Caenorhabditis elegans: one gene and its partner. Changing the gene in region 1 together with any one later gene gives a genetic interaction. Each region holds a gene or a part of one and is shown on either strand. Other genes may lie near its edges.

Region 1 (9,508 bases):
TTCACAAAAAACATTTGAAACTAATAAAACATGCTCTGAAACTTTTTTAAACAGCATTTCAACGAAAAAAATGAATTTTAGCAAAAAAAATTAAATTGTTTAAAAATCAAATTTTTCAACAACAAAAATTTTAATTTATTTAAAAAAACTATATTTTAACAAAAAAAAATCAAAATTTCACAAAAAGCTTTAAAAATTTTTTAACAGAAACATTTCAACGAAAAAATTAAATTAAACAATTTATTTAAAAAAAAAAAGAATTTTAAAAATAATTTTAAACAAAAAAAAATTATATTTTCAAAAAATTATTAACAAAAAAAACTTTAAGATCACATTTTTTATAAAATAAATTCAAATTTCTCAGAGCACATCCTACCTGGCTTGGGGTCTCTCACTTATGGTAACCTTCATGATTCTCTTCTTCTTCCTCTCAATTGTCAATTCACTGGCAAAAGACTATCACAAGCGGTTATGGGAACGAAAACGGCGACAAAACAAGGTCGAGTAATTAGGTACAACTGCCCTGACACACTGCCCATTTGTCATTAATTTTCTAATTTTTTTCCTTTTAAAAAAATATGGAAAAATTGTTTTATTTCAACTTTTCAATTGTTCAGGATTTGATAGATGAGGAAAATCAAAGTTTTGAAGAGGAAGAAGAAGAAGCCGTAACTCCGCCATCATCATGCCCGCTGCTGTTATCAGATGGATTTGAAGGAGTTGTTGTTAAGAAATGAGAAATAAGAAATAATTGTATAATTTTTTTTTCCAAAAATTTAAATTTCTAAACTAAAATTCGAATTTTTGCATGCAAAAAACACCCACTTTTTGATCTCAAATTTGCACTTATTAAGCACTAAAAACCAATAATTTCTTCCCTTTAAAATCTAAAAAAAATCTTCCAATAACCCCCCCACTGATAACAACAACAAGGCATTTTTCACTCGACGACCGGTGGCGGAGCGCACGTCTTCTTATTCTTCTTCTTCTTCTTCTTTTCCTACCTTTTCTATCCCACTTTTTCCCCGGAATTTTGAGATTTGACATGATTTTTCAGAGAATTTCGAGTTTTGAGAAAAAAAAAATCAAAAAAGCGATTTTTTGGTCAAAAGCCGAAATTTAAAGCTAGTTTTTTTGGAAATATCGATTTTTTTTTTGAGAATTTTTCGATTTTCCAAAAAAAAAATCGAAAGTTGTTTCCCGAAAAGCCGAAATTTTTTTTGAGATATCGAAAAATCGGAGAATTTTTCGATGTTTCCCAGAAATACTAAAATTTTGAATTTTCCGGAAAAAAAATCGTTAAAAAATTAGTTTCTTTTAAAGACCGAAATTTAAAGTTTTTTTTTTGGAAATATCGATTTTTTCCGAGATATCTAAAATTGAAAGAAATTTTCGATTTTCTGAGAAAAATACGAAAAAATCGAAAAAAAAACCCAAATTTCGGTTTTTTCGTAAAAAAAGTCGTAAAAATGTAATTTTTTTCCTGAAAAATCGGAATTTTTTACAAAATATCGGAAAATACTCAAAAAAAAGCTGAAAATTTCGATTTTCCGGAGAAAAAATCTTTTTAAAAAAATATTTTTTTTTTCAGAAAATAAGAAAAGCCGAAATTTATAACTATTTCTCCGGAAATTCGAAATTTTTAACGAAATATCGGAATAATTTTTAGATTTTTCAAGTTTGACTTTGCGAGAAAAAAATCGGAAAAACCTCGATTCGACGCCGAAAAATGCTCCTTTTCGAAAAGATTTTTGAAATTTCAGAAAATCGACATGCAAGCGCGCTCCACGGCGAAATGACAACGATGATCCACCGCCCTCAAAAAGTTGGGTCTCGTTAGGTATTTGGCGGTAAAACTGGTAAAACTCCAGTTTTGCCTCCAACGAGACCCAATTTTTTGGGGCGGTGGTGGAGCGCGCTTGCACAAGCTGAAAGCATTTTTCTGCGACTCGATAATATTTTGAAAACCTGTGTCAATTCTCGAAATTCTTTTTTTAAAAAATAATCCCGAGCTTCTCTCAGTCCTCCTCTATGAGGATGTTCCTTTTTTTTGGTTTTTCAATTTTTTTTAAAATTCCAAATTTCTGTTGTGCAATTCACTTCCCCCCAAGAAATCCCAAAAATCCCCAGTTTTCCCCAAAAATGTTCCGTTTTCATGTGATTTTTCCCCCATTTTTAAAACATTTTTTTGACTTTTTTTTAAAATGATTATTATTATTGTTTTCTATTTCATGGCCGGTAAATTATTTTTTTTCTTTCTTTTTTTTTGCTCTTTTTTTTCAAGAATTTTCGAATTGTTTGAAGGGCTGCTCATCTAATCTTTTGTCATTTTGTTCTGATGCCATCATTTCTGAGAGGACCTTTGAAGACTCGTCACGAAACGGGAGGGGGGCTCAAGTGAGCATTATTATTATTATTATTGTCGCAAAAAGTTTACCCCGGGCTCCCCCTGGCTCCCCTCTTTGAGCAAGGGTTTAAGGGCTCATTTTGATGACGAATTGCTCATTGGGATTATAGTCACGCCCCTCTTTTGGAGCAACTACACAACTGAGCCACAGTAATCCTTGGGGGCGGGGTCAGTAGGACCCCCTCCGGAATAGGGAAAAGCTCAGTTCACCGCCAAAAATGTCCTCTGCTGCTGCTGACGAAAGTGATGCTGTGCTCGAGAATCTTATTGCGAAAGGTGGGTTACTGTAGGTTGAATGGGTCTCGCCACGACAATTTTTTTCGATGAAAGGTGTGCGCCTTTAAGGAGTACTGTAGTTTGGAATTTTTATCGATTTTTTAAAAATAGTTTTTCGATTGCATTGATTCTTGACAAAAACTATGAAAAATCGATAAATATTCCGAACTACAGTACTCTTTTTAAGGCACATACATTTGTTTGCATTCCACAAAAAATGTCGTGTCGAGACCGCAAAATTTCGCGATTGAGTAATAAAATAAAAGTGCCAAATTTCACAGATTCGATGTAGAAAATGAAGGTCTTTTGAAATTTCTCAATACTAATTTACACATATTTTTATTAGGATTTTTTTTAATATAAAAAATCTTCTCTTGTCGATTTACGCAGTTCGTGTACTCCTCGTGGAGAAGTTTGTGTGCAGTTTTGCCCATTTTCGCTAATTTTTGATTAGTTTTTAAAAAAATTAAAGTCAGATTCAGGCAAAAATATATGAATTTGCTGTTCAAATCCCCGTTCGGCAAATTCATTTTCCGGCAAATTCGGTAATTTGCCGATTTGCCGGAAATTTCCATCTTCGGCAATTTGCCGATTTGCCAACTAGCCGGAAAGTTTCAATTCCGGCAATTTGCCGGTTTGCCAAATTTTTCAATTCCGGCAATTTGCCGATTTGCTGGAATTTTTCAATTCTGGCAAGTTGCCGTTTTGCCAATTTGCCTGAAATTTCCATTTTCGGCAATTTGCCGGTTTGCCGGAAATTGTCAATTTTGCCAATTTGCTGATTCGCCGGAAGTGTTTATTTTCGGCAATCTACCGGTTTGCCGATTTGCCGATTTGCCGGAAATTGCAGTTCCGGTAATTTGCCGCTTTGTCGGAAATTTTCAATTCTGGCAATTTGCCGATTTGCTGGAAACTTTTAATTTTCACTTTTAATAGATTCCCGGCCAAATAGCATAAATTCTTAAAAATATAATAATCCCTAAAAACTGAAAACTTTCCAGAAATCCTTCCCCAAACCGGCAACTGGGAAGGAACCGAGGAATTTCTTAATCGAATTGTTCAGGTAAATTTCGAATCATTTTTTTAAAAATTTTTCAAGTTTCCCTGCGTTTCCAGGTTCTTCTGAAGTACATCAAAGATCAGAATGATCGTGATCAGAAGATTCTGGAATTCCATCATCCAGATAAAATGCAAATGTTGATGGATTTGTCTATTCCAGAGAAACCGGAGAGCTTGTTGAAGCTTGTGAAGGTAACGAAAAATAATTTTGTTCTTTCCTATTAAGCTCAGGATTAGGGGCTTAGGCATAAGCTTAGGCTTGGGCTTGTGCTTGTGCTTAGGCTTTGGCTTAGGTTTAGGCCTAGGTATAGACTCGAGCGGCTCAGGAAATATTAATTAGTTTGAACTAGGAGTTTGAAATATTCGGATTTAGTTTAAGAGCGGAAAAAAAATTGATTTTCCGAAATGCGATCAATCAATGATTCGCTCCGCCCAATATTCTACCAATCAGTTGAAGTGGGAAGAGCTGGAAGACGCTGATTGGTTTGAAAGTGGGTGGGGTAAATTGCTGATTGGTCAGCTTTTATTTTGGCGAGAGTACTAGCGAAGGGTTGCCAGAAGGAAAAAAAACTTAATTTTTAAAGAATTTGGCCTATTTTGTAGTTTTTAGCAAATTCGACTATAAAATTTTGGGAAAATCTTAGATAAGCCTAAGCCTGAGCCTAAGCATAAGCCTAAGCCTAAGCCTAAGCATAAGCCTAAGCCTGAGCCTAAGCCTAAGACTAAACCTAAGCCTAAACCTAAGACTAAGCCTGAGCCTCAGCCTAGGCTTAATCATATGACGCAGCCTAATCCTAAGCCTAAGTCCAAGCTTAATCCATGCTCAATCTTGAGCTTAATACGAACAATTTTGAAAAATCAAAAATTCTTCAGCTCTAACGAATCTGTCAATTGCTAGTCGTTCAGAAAATTCAAATATTCTCAAAAAAATTTCATTTTCAAAGTAATAATAATTCCATCGTTTTTTCATATCCTTGTCCCACCAAAAAACATTTTTTTTTCATTTCCAAATCCTATTTCCGCACTCATTTTTCTCATTTCGCCCTCGGGGCACAATATAAACCATTAACATGCTCTTTTCCTCTTTTCTACCAGACATCTCGAAAACACTTGAAAATGGGGGGCTCCAGTGCTCTTTTCATTTGCACACACATACAATTTCCCCAAAAAAAGGACATTACAGAGCTGTGAAGATGTGCTTCGATTGGGTGTACGTACTGGACATCCACGCTTTTTCAACCAAATCTCGTGTGGACTCGACTTGGTTTCGATGGCTGGGGAATGGCTTACCGCAACTGCAAATACTAATATGTGGGTATTTGAGGGGAAGGATTAAGCTTAGGCTTAGGTTTAGGCCTAGACTTAGGCTTGGGCTCAGGCTTAGGCTTATGCTAAGCCTTAGGACTAAGCTTAGGCTTAGGTTTAGGCCTAGGCTTAGGCTTGGGCTCAGGCGCAGGCTCAGGCTTATGCGAAGCCTCAGGACTAGGCTTAGGCTTAGGCTTAAGCTTAGGCTCAGGCTTAGGCTTAGGCGTAGACTTAGGCTTAGGCTTAGATCGTGAAGGGACTTTCAAAATTGGCTTCAGAGTTTTTTCAAATTTAAAAACTCCGAGAAAATTACCAAAAACTCAGGAATTGCTCCTGAGGCACACAGATGAGCATTTTTACGTGTAAATTGCTCAATTTTGTTGCGATGAAGTTTTGAGAAAAGTCCCGCAAAACTTTCTAATCCAGCAATGAATATGGAAGGTTTTCTGAAATGCAAGCTTATGTAATTTTTTACATCTTTATACATAGATTATTAATAGAGAGGTTTTTTTAAACTAAAATTTGCTAGTAGGCTAAAACCTATTCAGAGTGGTACAATGCATTTAAAAAAAAAGAAAAATTGTTTAATTGTGTATTGTAATGTGATTGTATAGTGAAGAACTGACCTCATTAGGCTTTCACATAACAGTCAAATTATACTCAAAGTGATGCTCGTACTTGGCTGAGCTCTAACAAGCCGAAATTATAGGCTCAGTTTAAGAAATTTAACAGTACTTGCCGATCTTCAAAGTATACGTCAAGAAAGCGACAAAAAATTTAACAAAGGCAGTAGGCAGGCAGGCGCTCTTTCCTATGATAATAGTTAATAATATAGTTTTCAAATGTATAATATTTTAATAAAGCCTTTAGAAAATTTGAACATTTTTAAAAAAGTCTGGAAGCTAGAATCTTTCAGGTTCACCTATGAAATCGCGCCTGTCTTCATCCTTATGGAAAAGTCGGTAATGGCCAGAATGTGGGAAGCAGTTGGATGGGATCCGGAAAAAGCTGATGGAATCTTTGCACCAGGTGGAGCAATCGCCAATTTGTATGCAATGAATGCGGCACGTCATCAACTTTGGCCACGTAGCAAGCATCTCGGAATGAAGGATATTCCGACATTGTGCTGCTTTACTAGCGAGGATGTAAGATTTTTTTAAAATTTAAAGAATTAATTTTTGGCTGTTACTTATGAAACATTTATTCAACATTGAAATATTCCTCAATTTTTTGAATTTTTTTTGCGGGTTTTCTCAAGTTTATACGCAAAAATTGATAGTCCTTGTAAAGTTATTCGGCAAAATTTGGCAAAACTTGTTTTCCAATATTGGCCGAGCTCGGCAAATTTGGCAAATTTGCCGTGCTCCGAAAATAGAAAAAGTTTCGGATATTCCCAGGCTATTACTGAATCCTTAGCACAAGCGGCAATTTTCGTTCGGCAATTTTTTTTTGTCGAAAAATTCTGCAAAATTTGACAATTTGCCGGAAACTTCCAATTCCGGCAATTTACCGGATTGCCAATTTGCCGGAAAATTTCAATTCCGGCTAATTGCCGGTTTTGACGATTTGTCGGAAATTTAAATTCTGCCAATTTGCCGATTTGCAGGAAATGTTCTATTTCGGCAAACAGCCGGTTTGCCGAAAATTTCAATTACGGCAAATTTTTTTGTCGACAAATTCGGCAAAATGCCGGTTTGCCGATTTGCCGGAAACTTCCAATTCCGGCAATTTATCTGTTTGCCGATTTGCCGAAAATTTTCAATTTGCCGATTTGCCTGAAATTTCCATTTTCGGCAATTTTTCAACTTGCCGGAAATGTTCGATTCCGTCAATTTACCGATTTGCCCATTTGCCGAATTTTAGAAAAAATGTTTCTCCACGAGGAGTACACGAGCCGCGTAAATCTACAGACGTTTTCTGATTTTTTTTCCGGCAAAAGCCGGTTTTCCAATTTGCCGGAAACTTCCAACTCTGGCAATTTACCGGATTGCCAATTTGCCGGAAACCTTCCATTCCGGCAAATTGCCGGTTTGCAAGTTTGCTGGAAATTTTTATTTTTGGCAAATCGACGAATCGCCGGTTTGCCGATTTGCCGGAAACTGTCAATTCTGGCACATTGCCGGTTTGCAAGTTTGCTGGAAATTTTTATTTTTGGCAAATCGACGAATTGCCGGTTTGCCGGAAACTGTCGATTCCAGCAAATTGTCGGTTTGCTAGTTTGCTGGAAATTTTTATTTTTGGCAAATCGACGAATTGCCGGTTCGCCGATTTCCCGGAAACTGTCAATTCTGGCACATTGCCGGTTTGCAAGTTTGCTGGAAACTGTTACTTTTGGCAAATCGACGAATTGCCGGTTTGCCGGTTTGCCGGAAACTGTCGATTCCGGCAAATTGTCGGTTTGCTAGTTTGACGGAAATTTTTATTTTTATTAAATTGACGAATTGCCGGATTACCAATTTGCCTGAAACTTTCAATTTCGGCAAACTGTCGGATTGCCAATTTGCCGGAAACTTTTATTTTTAGCAAATTGTGGGTTACAAATTTGCCGAAAATTAAAAAAAAATTTAAGTGCAAACCCTGCCGATTTGCCGATTCGTCGGAAAAATTGTTTGCCGCCCACCATTTTTGAATAATTTTGTTCGGTCAAATTTTTAAAATCCAATTTTGTGGGCCGTGCGGCAAATTTCCAAGTTTGTCGAGCTCGGCAAACGGGAAATTCGGCAATTTTTGAAATTTTTTCTCTGCCACTTTTTTCCTCTAAAACCTTAAATTTGCAGAGTCACTACTCCATCAAATCTGCCTCCGCTGTTCTTGGCATTGGCGCAGACTATTGCTTCAACATTCCAACCGATAAAAATGGAAAAATGATTCCAGAAGCTCTAGAAGCTAAGATTATCGAATGTAAAAAAGAGGGTCTGACCCCGTTCTTTGCCTGCTGCACAGCCGGCTCAACTGTCTACGGAGCATTTGATCCATTGGAGCGAGTCGCAAACATCTGTGAACGTCATAAGCTCTGGTTCCACGTGGATGCCGCTTGGGGTGGTGGAATGCTCCTGTCTCCCGAGCATCGGTACAAGCTGGCAGGAATTGAGAGAGCTAATTCAGTGACATGGAATCCACATAAGCTCATGGGAGCACTTCTCCAGTGCTCGGCATGCTTGTTCCGTCAGGATGGACTACTGTTCCAGTGTAATCAAATGTCGGCTGATTATCTATTCCAACAAGATAAACCGTACGATGTGAGCTTTGATACTGGAGATAAAGCCATTCAATGTGGACGGCACAATGATGTTTTCAAGCTTTGGTTGATGTGGAAGAGCAAGGGAATGGAGGGATATCGTCAGCAAATTAATAAGTTGATGGATTTGGCCAACTATTTTACCAGGAGAATTAAGGAAACTGAAGGATTTGAGTTGATTATTGAGAATGTGAGTTTCGGTGAGCAATTGCCGGTTTGCCAATTTGCCGGAAATATTCAATTCCGGCAATTTGCCGAGTAGCCTTTTGCCGGATATCAATTTGCCGGAAGTGTTTAGAGGACTTAAACCTGTGTCTTTTTGAAATTTTTTCCGTTTCTTTAGATATTCATAGGATGCGTACAATTTTGCCGATTGAAGTTGAAATTCTGAAATTTCCAAAAAAAAAAATGTGCAAAGCCACTATTTGCCGAAAATTTGGGCAATTGCCATTGTTCCGGCAAATTCGGAAAATGGGCAATTAGTCGGTTTGCCGATTTGCCGGAAATTTTCAATTCCGACAATTTGCCGGTTTGCCGATTTTCTGGCAAAAATCGTTTGCCGCCCACCCTTGGATCATAATATTTTGGTCAATTTTTCGTTTTTTTTTGTTAATTTTTCTAAACACTTTTTTCGATTTTGTGATTATCTCTGAAAAATCGAAAAAATATTAAAAAAAAAAAGGAAATTGAAACATCTAAACATTTTTTAAACTGCTTGAAAAATATCTAAAACACTTTAAATCGAAAAAAATCAAATTACATACCTTCGAGGCGAGTTATGCCTGTCTTGTAGGCAGGTAGGCACTGCTAGGCACCTACTAGGCAGGAATTTTGAAGCCTGCAGTATGATTACTTCTTTAATTTTTATGAAATTTATAAAATGTTTCACTGGGTTTAAAAAAAAATTAATTTCAAAGTTAATTTAATTAAAACAAAAAAAAACTTCAAATTTTTCAAATTTTCAGCCCGAATTCCTGAACATTTGTTTCTGGTACGTGCCTTCAAAGATTCGAAACTTGGAGCCTGCTGAAATGCGTGCTCGTTTGGAGAAAATTGCCCCAAAAATTAAAGCCGGCATGATGCAAAGAGGTACCACAATGGTTGGATATCAACCGGATAAGCAGCGACCAAATTTCTTCCGAATGATTATTTCGAATCAGGTATGGAACAGGCGTTTAATGTAATTTTTTGAAACAAATAATTTGGTAATTTGGCAAAAAATG
Region 2 (8,487 bases), on another chromosome or scaffold:
CCATGAATAATACAATTCCGGCTAGCAATTTTAGTTGCGGTGCCAATCGGTTCACGGAATTTATTCCACAATTGTTTAACAGCACCGAGTGTAAAAATTTGAGAGGTATGATTTTTAATAATTATGTTTTTGTTTATTGAACTTATCTCAACTAACTACTAAACGTTTCTGACTTTTATGAAACAGTTTTTTATTGAAAAAAATTAAAACATTACTGAAAATTTTTGAAGATAGTTTCAAGATTTTTATCATCTTCGAAAATTAAATTTTCAGATCCAATGAACGTCTGCTGTGAAACCCACGACAACTGCTACAACACTCAAATTGGTAAAGATTTTTGCGATAATGAATTTTGTCTATGTCTAAGTACGGCCACAGAAAAGAATCTTTGCGCAGTGAGTTTTTTTTTTAATTAAAATTTGTTTTTTTTTCATATTGAAAAGTAATCCCATGTTTCAGGTGGATGCTGCCGGATTCTGTGCAGCTGTTCGACTTTTTGGAGAGACTGCGTATAACACCTTGGGAGGACTAGAACCAGTATCTCCCACTATAAATTAAATTTTAAAAAAATCAACATTTGTTAGTATCCATTGTCAAGATGATCACTTTTATTTTTGAAAACAATGTGATTTCAATTTTCAAAATCAATTTAAATGCCCGCATTGTAGGCGGTTGAAGTTGCCAAAGTCATAATGTACATAAATCTGTTTTTTTTTCAACTTTCAAACAATTTATTATCTTTTTTTTAAATAGAAATATGAGCACAGAAAAGGAGACATTTGAAAACAATTACGCGAATGAAAAAACATAGAGATCGAAATGTGACCGTAAAACATGGAATCAGGAATAAATGTCATGGGTTCTTGCGTAATCTGTGAGCTCTCGGAAAATGTGCTCTCTCCATGAATCCACGTTCTGTTCCACATCCATATTATGATCATACGGAAGTGGAGGTGGAGCATATACCTGAAAACATATGAATATGAGTTAATAATATTATAATTCTTTTCGAATTCGATATTACATACGGCTGTGGCTGGCGTATCTTCATTCGCAATTTATGGTTCTTGAGAATGTGAATTATATGCTGTTCTTTTTTAATACTGCGTTATTAATAATTTCATTTATTCTCAAAAGATGTCGGGTAAACAATTGTAAAGAAAATACGATATGCTTACATCTTAGCTTTGAAACAGTAAATTTTTTCTTACCAAATATGCTTCGTGTTATTTTCAAGCTTCAAACAGAAAATAACAAAAAAACATATTTAACAAGAAAAAAAAAATTACTGTTTCAAAGCTAAGATGTATATTGTATTTTTCGTTGCAATTGTTTGTCCCATCACTAATTTAGCGAAAACATTGAATAATTAGTAGATATTATTATTATGCTCAAATTCAATATTGGACGTTCGACCCGGTTGAAATTGACGTGTGACCCTTAGTAGACTCCTCACTCGACCTTTTTAATAATATAAATTCTGTACAGATATCGGAAAAAGATACAAATTTTAAGCTGTTTTTAATAAGGTTACCGCAATATAACCTTTATTTGTTTTCAACAAAATAAAAATAAACGAAAGTGAAAAATTATCACTGTTTCAAAATCTCAATTAACATATGTTTTATTTTGAAATTGATTCAGCAACATTATTCAAATTTTATTAGGGCTGGCCATCCGGAGTCCGGATTTTAGAGTTTTTCTTCCACGCAAAAAATAGGATTTCGGTTTTTGAAAAGTCATTCATATTTAACTGTATATTTTGTGTTGTGTAATAGGAAAAAATCTTACTTCAATTTCATCAAACCAAACATTGACATATGGATGTCTCAGTGCATCATCCACAGAAATCCTTCTTTCCGGATCTATGACTAACATTCGAGAAAGTAAGTCACGAGCTTGAGCACCTAGAAAATGTTTAATTTTTGAAATTATTCTGTTAAAGCATACCTGTAAGTCTTGAGCTGTCAGCTGTCATTGGGAACATGTTATCACTGAAGAGAACTTCAAACGGCGTTGCTTGATATCTGAATTATTTTATTTTAATCGAGTTCATTGTATTAGTAAAATATTTTAATTCATACCTTGGCCGATTTTCCACATAATTTCTGACAGTTGGTTGTAACCGTTCTAAAAATGACCTATCCGGAGTACCCAATTGTTCTGAATTCGGAAATGTTGGCAGTTCGTTTTAATCATTTTCAAAATTACCAATAATCCTAGTCCACTGATCGATATGGTCACCACCCGGGAATAGTACACGTCCACGTATCAGCTCTCCAAATATACACCCAATTGACCAAACATCAACTGAAAAATATTTTGTTTGAAAAATATAACTTTGTTAAATTGCTTAAAGAATTTGAAAATGAATAACGATTATTCTTCTATTTTTAAAACTAGAAAAAACTGAAAAAATGTGTGCTCCGATTTAATATTGGTGTTCATCACTTTAACTCAAAAATCTTACCATTTTCCTTGTAACCCATTCCTAAAATAACTTCCGGTGCCCGATAGTATCTTGTCACAACGTAAGGAGTCATCATGAATGCCTCAATCGCAGTTCGAGCCAATCCGAAATCCAAGATTTTTAGAGTACAATCACTTCGAACGACAATGTTTGATGGTTTCAAATCCTGTAACAATTTGTAGAATAAATATTTGGAAAAAAAAATCTCAGAGGGACAACCCGGTTCAGAATAATCGGTAGCATAAATTTTTTATATGCCTATCTGCCTGAGAGCTTGCCTACTAAAATGCTCCTCTGAATTTTTTTAGTAAAAATAATAATGGGCACAAAAACTTTTGCTCCACAAAAAAGAAGCCATGTTCCGATTTTTCGCAACTTGTGCCTTGGAAGTAGGCACAAGGCGATTATAAGTCGCCTAGATATTCTTTTTTCTGTCAGTCTCACCCTGTGTATAATTCCAGCACTATGTAAATGCCTGATACCACATAACATTTGATAAAGAAGATATGATAATCTCTCATGATCCAAATCCATTTGAATCACTTGACAAAGATTTGCATCCATAAGTTCCATAACAATATAAAGATCGTTGAATTCGTCGAGTTTCTTTTGTGGTGTAAAACAATTCAGAATACCTATGATCTGAAAAATGAGGAATTGAAGTCCAACGTAAAATCTTGAAAAAACTCACATTTTTATGATTTACAAGACTCATGAGTTTTAATTCTCGATAAGCCCTCTTTGCATGTGTCACATTTTGAAATGGCCTTGATAATTTCTTTATGGCAACTTGTTCGTTCCGTACCGTATCAAACGCTGAGCTGAAAAATAATAAATTTGATTTCCAGCATAGTTGAGATTTTTTAACCAAACAATATAGAATCGAGAAAATTTTTGTCTCTTCAAAATCGCTTTCCCATTATACCAACAACAAAATTACTCACCAAACAATTCCCTGAGCACCAGACCCGATCAACCTGAGATTTTGATATCGTTTGAGAACAACCATCTGCGCTTCCCCTATTGTCACCTGAAACATATCGAGATCTTCAACCAAACTGTTAAAATTGTACTCACCGAATAATAGTTTTCGGGAACATGAATAGAGGATGGTTCCATGAGAATTCCTCCTCCTGTTCCACTGTTTATGTGATGACGAACAGGACTGTACACTGATTGGCAACTATCCAAAGAGACAGCGTCGTCGTCTCGACCAGATGATGATGGAACCAGCCACTGAAAATAGGGAATAAAGATATAGTTAGATATTGATGATTTTGTTTTAAAAACTGTTATTTCTGACTATTGAGTGACCATCAACATTTGATAAAACAGTTGCGAAGTTTTCTGAAACCGTAAGCAACTTCGCCTCAGTTCGTGTTTTGTGAACAAAATTTCTCTGTTTCAAGGACTTTTCTTGAATTTTGTCAATTCTGCCAGTAATGTTCATATATTTTCAAAAAATTTCATAAAAATTTAACGAAACTAATGATAATTTGAACTATGAGCTGATAAATTTGCAAACTCAAGTGTCTCTAAAATAGAAAATACGGCTTATAAAACATCAGTGGTAGTGCCCATTTTTAAAAGACAAAATTTCAATTTCATGCTTTTGAGTTTTAGTCAACTCAAACTTAAACTCACATTCCCAACGGACTCGATAAAATTGTTGAGGTGTCCACGGGTTCCTCGAATGATTGATGATATCGAGGAGGATGCGAGCAGAGTGTTGTGATCCTCTTCCACGCTTCTACCTGAAAATCGGATAAATTTAAATGCCATTACAGTGAAAACAGTGAAATGTAGAAACTTCTCGAAGGATACAAAAACGATTTCCTCAAAAATACTCGAACACAAACAATTATTTTGGTATTAAATTTAGACTTTCACTATCAAAATTATGATTTGAAAGAAAGCAATTTGTTGAAAAAAATATTTGGAAAATAAAATATTTGAAACAGAGAAAAATGTGATATTAGATGCATTACTAAAAATCTAATTAACTCAGCCGCATATTAACGGGATCTATGTATTTACCCAAAAACCAATCCAGAAATCTTTTTTTTTTCAAAAAACCCAGACTCTTTGCTAGCTTCAAAAGAAATGTATAAATAAATGGAGACTATTTATCCATTTTTTGGTGTCTTTTTCACATTCAGCACACACAATGCACTTTTCGACTCTTTTTTTTTGCTGTCCGTTTGGATGTCTTTTTCTGTCCAATTTGGAGCAGAGACAAAATTTAGAGAAAATACACAAGATGGAAGGAAGACGCAGAGTTAGAAAGAACACAATTTCACTGATGAGGTTATATTGGGGCTAAGGGAAAAGAGGGCTCTGAAGGGAACATAAGATGGTCGGGGTGGAAAAGCGGAAAGGATTATTTAGGTCAGAAAAGGAAGAAACACGGAAATTAAAGATGAAGAGGGTACTACTCGTTAGAGTGTTACATTCATTTGTCGGAAAACTTTTTAGAACAGAAATAAGGGGAATATTCAAGAATCAAACCTATTTTCAAAATTTAACTGTTTCATAAAATTATCAAAAGTCTACTGATAATGACCTCGATATTGTTGTATTGCACTAAAGGGTATTTTTTTTGGTGACAACTTAAAATTTTCAACTAGTTTCAAAAGGACAAATATTCTAAATTAGTCCTTTCTAGCAAAGTTATGATCAAAACAGTTTAGCTAAATTTTCAAAAAAAAAACCTCTAACTTCTTGATTCACAGAAGCTCTCCTCACTTCAAAACCAAAAAATTGTCATAATTTTCAACTTCTAGTGATTTATAATAACAACTTTAACAAGAAAAAAACTATAAGTTGGGGTGGATGTACTAGTCGATGGGGTTGGTTGCGAGGGTCTCAGTGGTGGTTGTGTGTCTCCGGAGCTCTCCGGAGCAGTGGCGGCGGTCCTTCTCTACGTCTCCGTCGTCTTTCCGTCGTCATTCTGTGCAAAACGGGGCCGCGCCTTTCCTATATCGATTTTTGTGTTTAGAAGACTTTGAGAATGGGGTAGAAGGGGGCACAAGAAGGACGTCTTTTCGATTTGTGAATGAAAGTGAGGAAAGAAAAAGAAGCAAAAACATAGAAAGAGAGAGAAAGAGGAAGATGTTGAGCATGTTTGTGGAAGAGAAGCTACCAACGTAGAATATGGTACCCATGGGACCATAAATTATAATAGAAACGGAAAAGACAAAAAGAAGAGGAAGAAGAAGTTAAGAGGCGTAAAGCATATGGAACAGAACTGAAAAGACACGACTTTGTGACGTCATTGTCGAGGGTTTGAGACTTTTGTTGTGACGAGTTCAAAATTTTATTTTAAATAAAAATATCTAGATTTCGAGAAGTAACTGTCGCGTTTGAGAATGAAATACAATTTTTAACACTTTGGTACGAGTCGCTCTGCTGCAAGTTCAAAAAAGTGTATTTCGATTAAACGAGCGAAAATGCTCAATTTGTTTATTTGCTCACTAAAACAATTGTTCTATCTAAATATACTCAGAATGAGCCAAAAGACCATCAGTACAAAATTCAAAAATTTTTTAAATTCAAAATTTTTTAAAATTTTTTTCAGATATTTAAAAATTTGTTGCATATCTGTAATTCCACAATTAAAAATAAATTGAATTAATTATATTGTGCATTTAAATGGATATCCCATATTAATAACTTTTGCGATTTTTTAAATGGAAATTTTGTGACCCGCTAATTTAGAAAGTGTATATTATTAACTTGGTCAAGAAACTATACTTTCTTGTTGCTTTTCTAGAACTAGCTGCTAATTTAGTGCTACCTCAACTTTTTAATACAATTTTGAAATGTTATATTGAAATTTTTATTGGTTCATATTTAAATTAAAGAGAAGGTAATACATGTAAAATGTAGTTCATATTACTTACAGTGGCATGTAAAAAACACTGAAAAAATCCTTTAAAAATGTGAAAAAAGAGCTAGTAATTTTTAATTTGAATTCCCACATTTCCAGCCACTTTACTCAATTTTATTAGTCCCACAATTATTGATGTTAACGGGTTTTACAGGCTTTTCTTTTGGTTTAGTCATAAATTTCAGAATTTCCCTGTTGAGTTAAATTTGATTAAATCTTAATTTAAAAAAACTGATTCCTAATTAAAAAAAGACACAGTTTTCCCAAATTTCAATTTTGCAAAAAAAACAATTAACTTTCGTAGATAAAAAAGAAGCTAGAATAATATTTTGCAAAAATTTAAAAACAAACCTGGATGTGACGGATACGATGATGTTGTGGATAATCGTTCCTCCATGTGCACAGGATCACACACTTTAACTTGCTGATGGTTCTGAAAATATTATTATACGTATTCATTGGTGGAAATTGCAAAAAGCTGATAGTGGCTAATTTAAGAACGGTTCAAATTAGCGAGAATCTCATTAATTAATTTTAACCAGCTTCTAGAAAAACAAAACTGAACAGGGAAAAAAAATTGCGGACACCAAAATAAAGAATAGAAAAAATGAAAATGTTGAGGAAATGGAAACTATTTTCCAGTTAGAATACATTGCAATTGAGGGCAGAAAAATTGAAATTTGAGAATTCGTGTTGAAATCTCGAATTCCATTTTCCCGTAAAATGGTCACTTGTTGTTTTCCAGAAAATGAAAAAAAGTACATATTTCAATATTAATTTTAAAAACACCACTAAAAACTTACTTCTGCAGTAATTTTTTTTAAAAAATTTCAGGGCGGTTTAAGTTTAAAGGTTTTTTTCTGTACTTTGTATTATGTTTAGTTATTATTAAAATCACTTTTCCTTCTGTATGTACTGAACTCTCCATTTTTTTCAAAAGACTAAATGGAAATCACTAACTAAATAAATATGTGAAACATTTTAAAGACTACGTGAAACATTTTAAAGCCACTTGCCACTTTTCCGAAGTCTTCTAAGACTTCTAAACCTTTTCTAGTATTTGCTCCCTAATATATTCTCAAAAGTGTAAAGAGCGGGAGTTGTCGTCAAAGTTCTCAAAAGGATTCCCGATGCAGTAGAGTAGCCAATTGGGGCTCTCATGTCAGTCACATGGGCGGCAGATTTGGTGATGAGAAGAAGAAGAAGAACTTGAGAATAATGAGACGCAGGCTTTGAAAGTTCGTCCTTTCTGTGGATGGAGGACAAGGATTCAAGCAAAGAATTGGAATTTAATTTAGAAAATGTGATGATGGAGAAGGGAAAGAAAGAATTGGAGGGACAAGGTTGAAGGCAACCGGGACATGTTTGAAACTAAGGAGCGCTTCAAAAAAATGGAAAAATCATTCGATTTTTTTCAAAACAAAAAATTGAAAGTTTACTGAAGCTTTTTTTTGGAAAAGCTATGAAAACAGCGGATTTTCAATTTATTTTTATTTTTTCACACGATTCTTTGTTTTCTTTCTACAAGAAGTTGAACTCTAATTTGAACCTTACCAAAAGACATCTTTTTCTGTTTTTATATTGTGATATTTCTGAATTTTGGGTATTTCGAAGCAAAATCAAAACGGTGAATAATTTTGAATGATAATGTATTTTCACTAACTTGAATGAACCAAAATGAAAAAAAATGATCACGCAAAAATAGGTATCTCGATTTTTTTTGTATGAGATCCGTCTCTTAGGCAACCGTGCTTTTCTTTACAAATTCAATTATTCATACTTGTTTATTTAGGTAGTATAGAACGACAATTTGAATCACATTATGCATATGTATAACTGGTTTAAAATAAAGAAGAGAGGTTTTTAAATGCACTTTTTCAAAAATAAATTTGAGGTTTGATGAAAAGTTTTCAACTTATTCGCTTGGCTTAAAATTATCAGATTAAAAAAAAAATTTCAAAGTTTTGGAAGATTGACCAATTTTTCAAATAAGGCTTCACAAATGTTAAAATACAAACGTAATGAATGTTTTAATTTTTTTAAAACTTTTTTTTCGGTTGCCGAAATTATGATAGGAAAACTTAACAAATGCCAATTTTTGTTTATAGATAAATTCATATAGCTATTT

The links. A genetic interaction does not mean that the proteins touch.
Region 2: of unc-25 (region 1) and jnk-1, changing one suppresses a phenotype caused by changing the other (phenotypic suppression), as found in Caenorhabditis elegans (one study listed by BioGRID).

What each region holds. Positions count from the first base shown.
Region 1 is NC_003281.10:12,940,036-12,949,543, forward strand, and holds the start of unc-25 (Glutamate decarboxylase 1), read left to right. Parts: upstream 1-2,615; 5' UTR 2,616-2,625; coding exon 2,626-2,683; intron 2,684-3,684; coding exon 3,685-3,746; intron 3,747-3,799; coding exon 3,800-3,934; intron 3,935-4,925; coding exon 4,926-5,053; intron 5,054-5,963; coding exon 5,964-6,192; intron 6,193-7,824; coding exon 7,825-8,475; coding exon of another isoform or gene 8,476-8,485; intron 8,486-9,250; coding exon 9,251-9,445; intron 9,446-9,508. Other genes in the region: epg-3 (Ectopic P granules protein 3), read left to right, coding at 365-499, 618-737.
Region 2 is NC_003282.8:6,955,946-6,964,432, reverse strand, and holds jnk-1 (Stress-activated protein kinase jnk-1), read right to left. Parts: upstream 6,793-8,487; 5' UTR 6,757-6,792; coding exon 6,711-6,756; intron 5,451-6,710; exon of another isoform or gene 5,313-5,450; intron 5,066-5,312; exon of another isoform or gene 5,042-5,065; intron 4,225-5,041; coding exon 4,115-4,224; intron 3,707-4,114; coding exon 3,548-3,706; intron 3,501-3,547; coding exon 3,415-3,500; intron 3,292-3,414; coding exon 3,162-3,291; intron 3,113-3,161; coding exon 2,915-3,112; intron 2,637-2,914; coding exon 2,471-2,636; intron 2,311-2,470; coding exon 2,212-2,310; intron 2,164-2,211; coding exon 2,085-2,163; intron 2,028-2,084; coding exon 1,951-2,027; intron 1,908-1,950; coding exon 1,792-1,907; exon of another isoform or gene 967-1,791; coding exon 841-966; 3' UTR 714-840; downstream 1-713. Other genes in the region: B0478.3 (uncharacterized protein), read left to right, coding at 1-105, 274-395, 460-558. UniProt on the Caenorhabditis elegans protein: Serine/threonine-protein kinase which responds to activation by environmental stress by phosphorylating a number of transcription factors such as daf-16, and thus regulates transcriptional activity.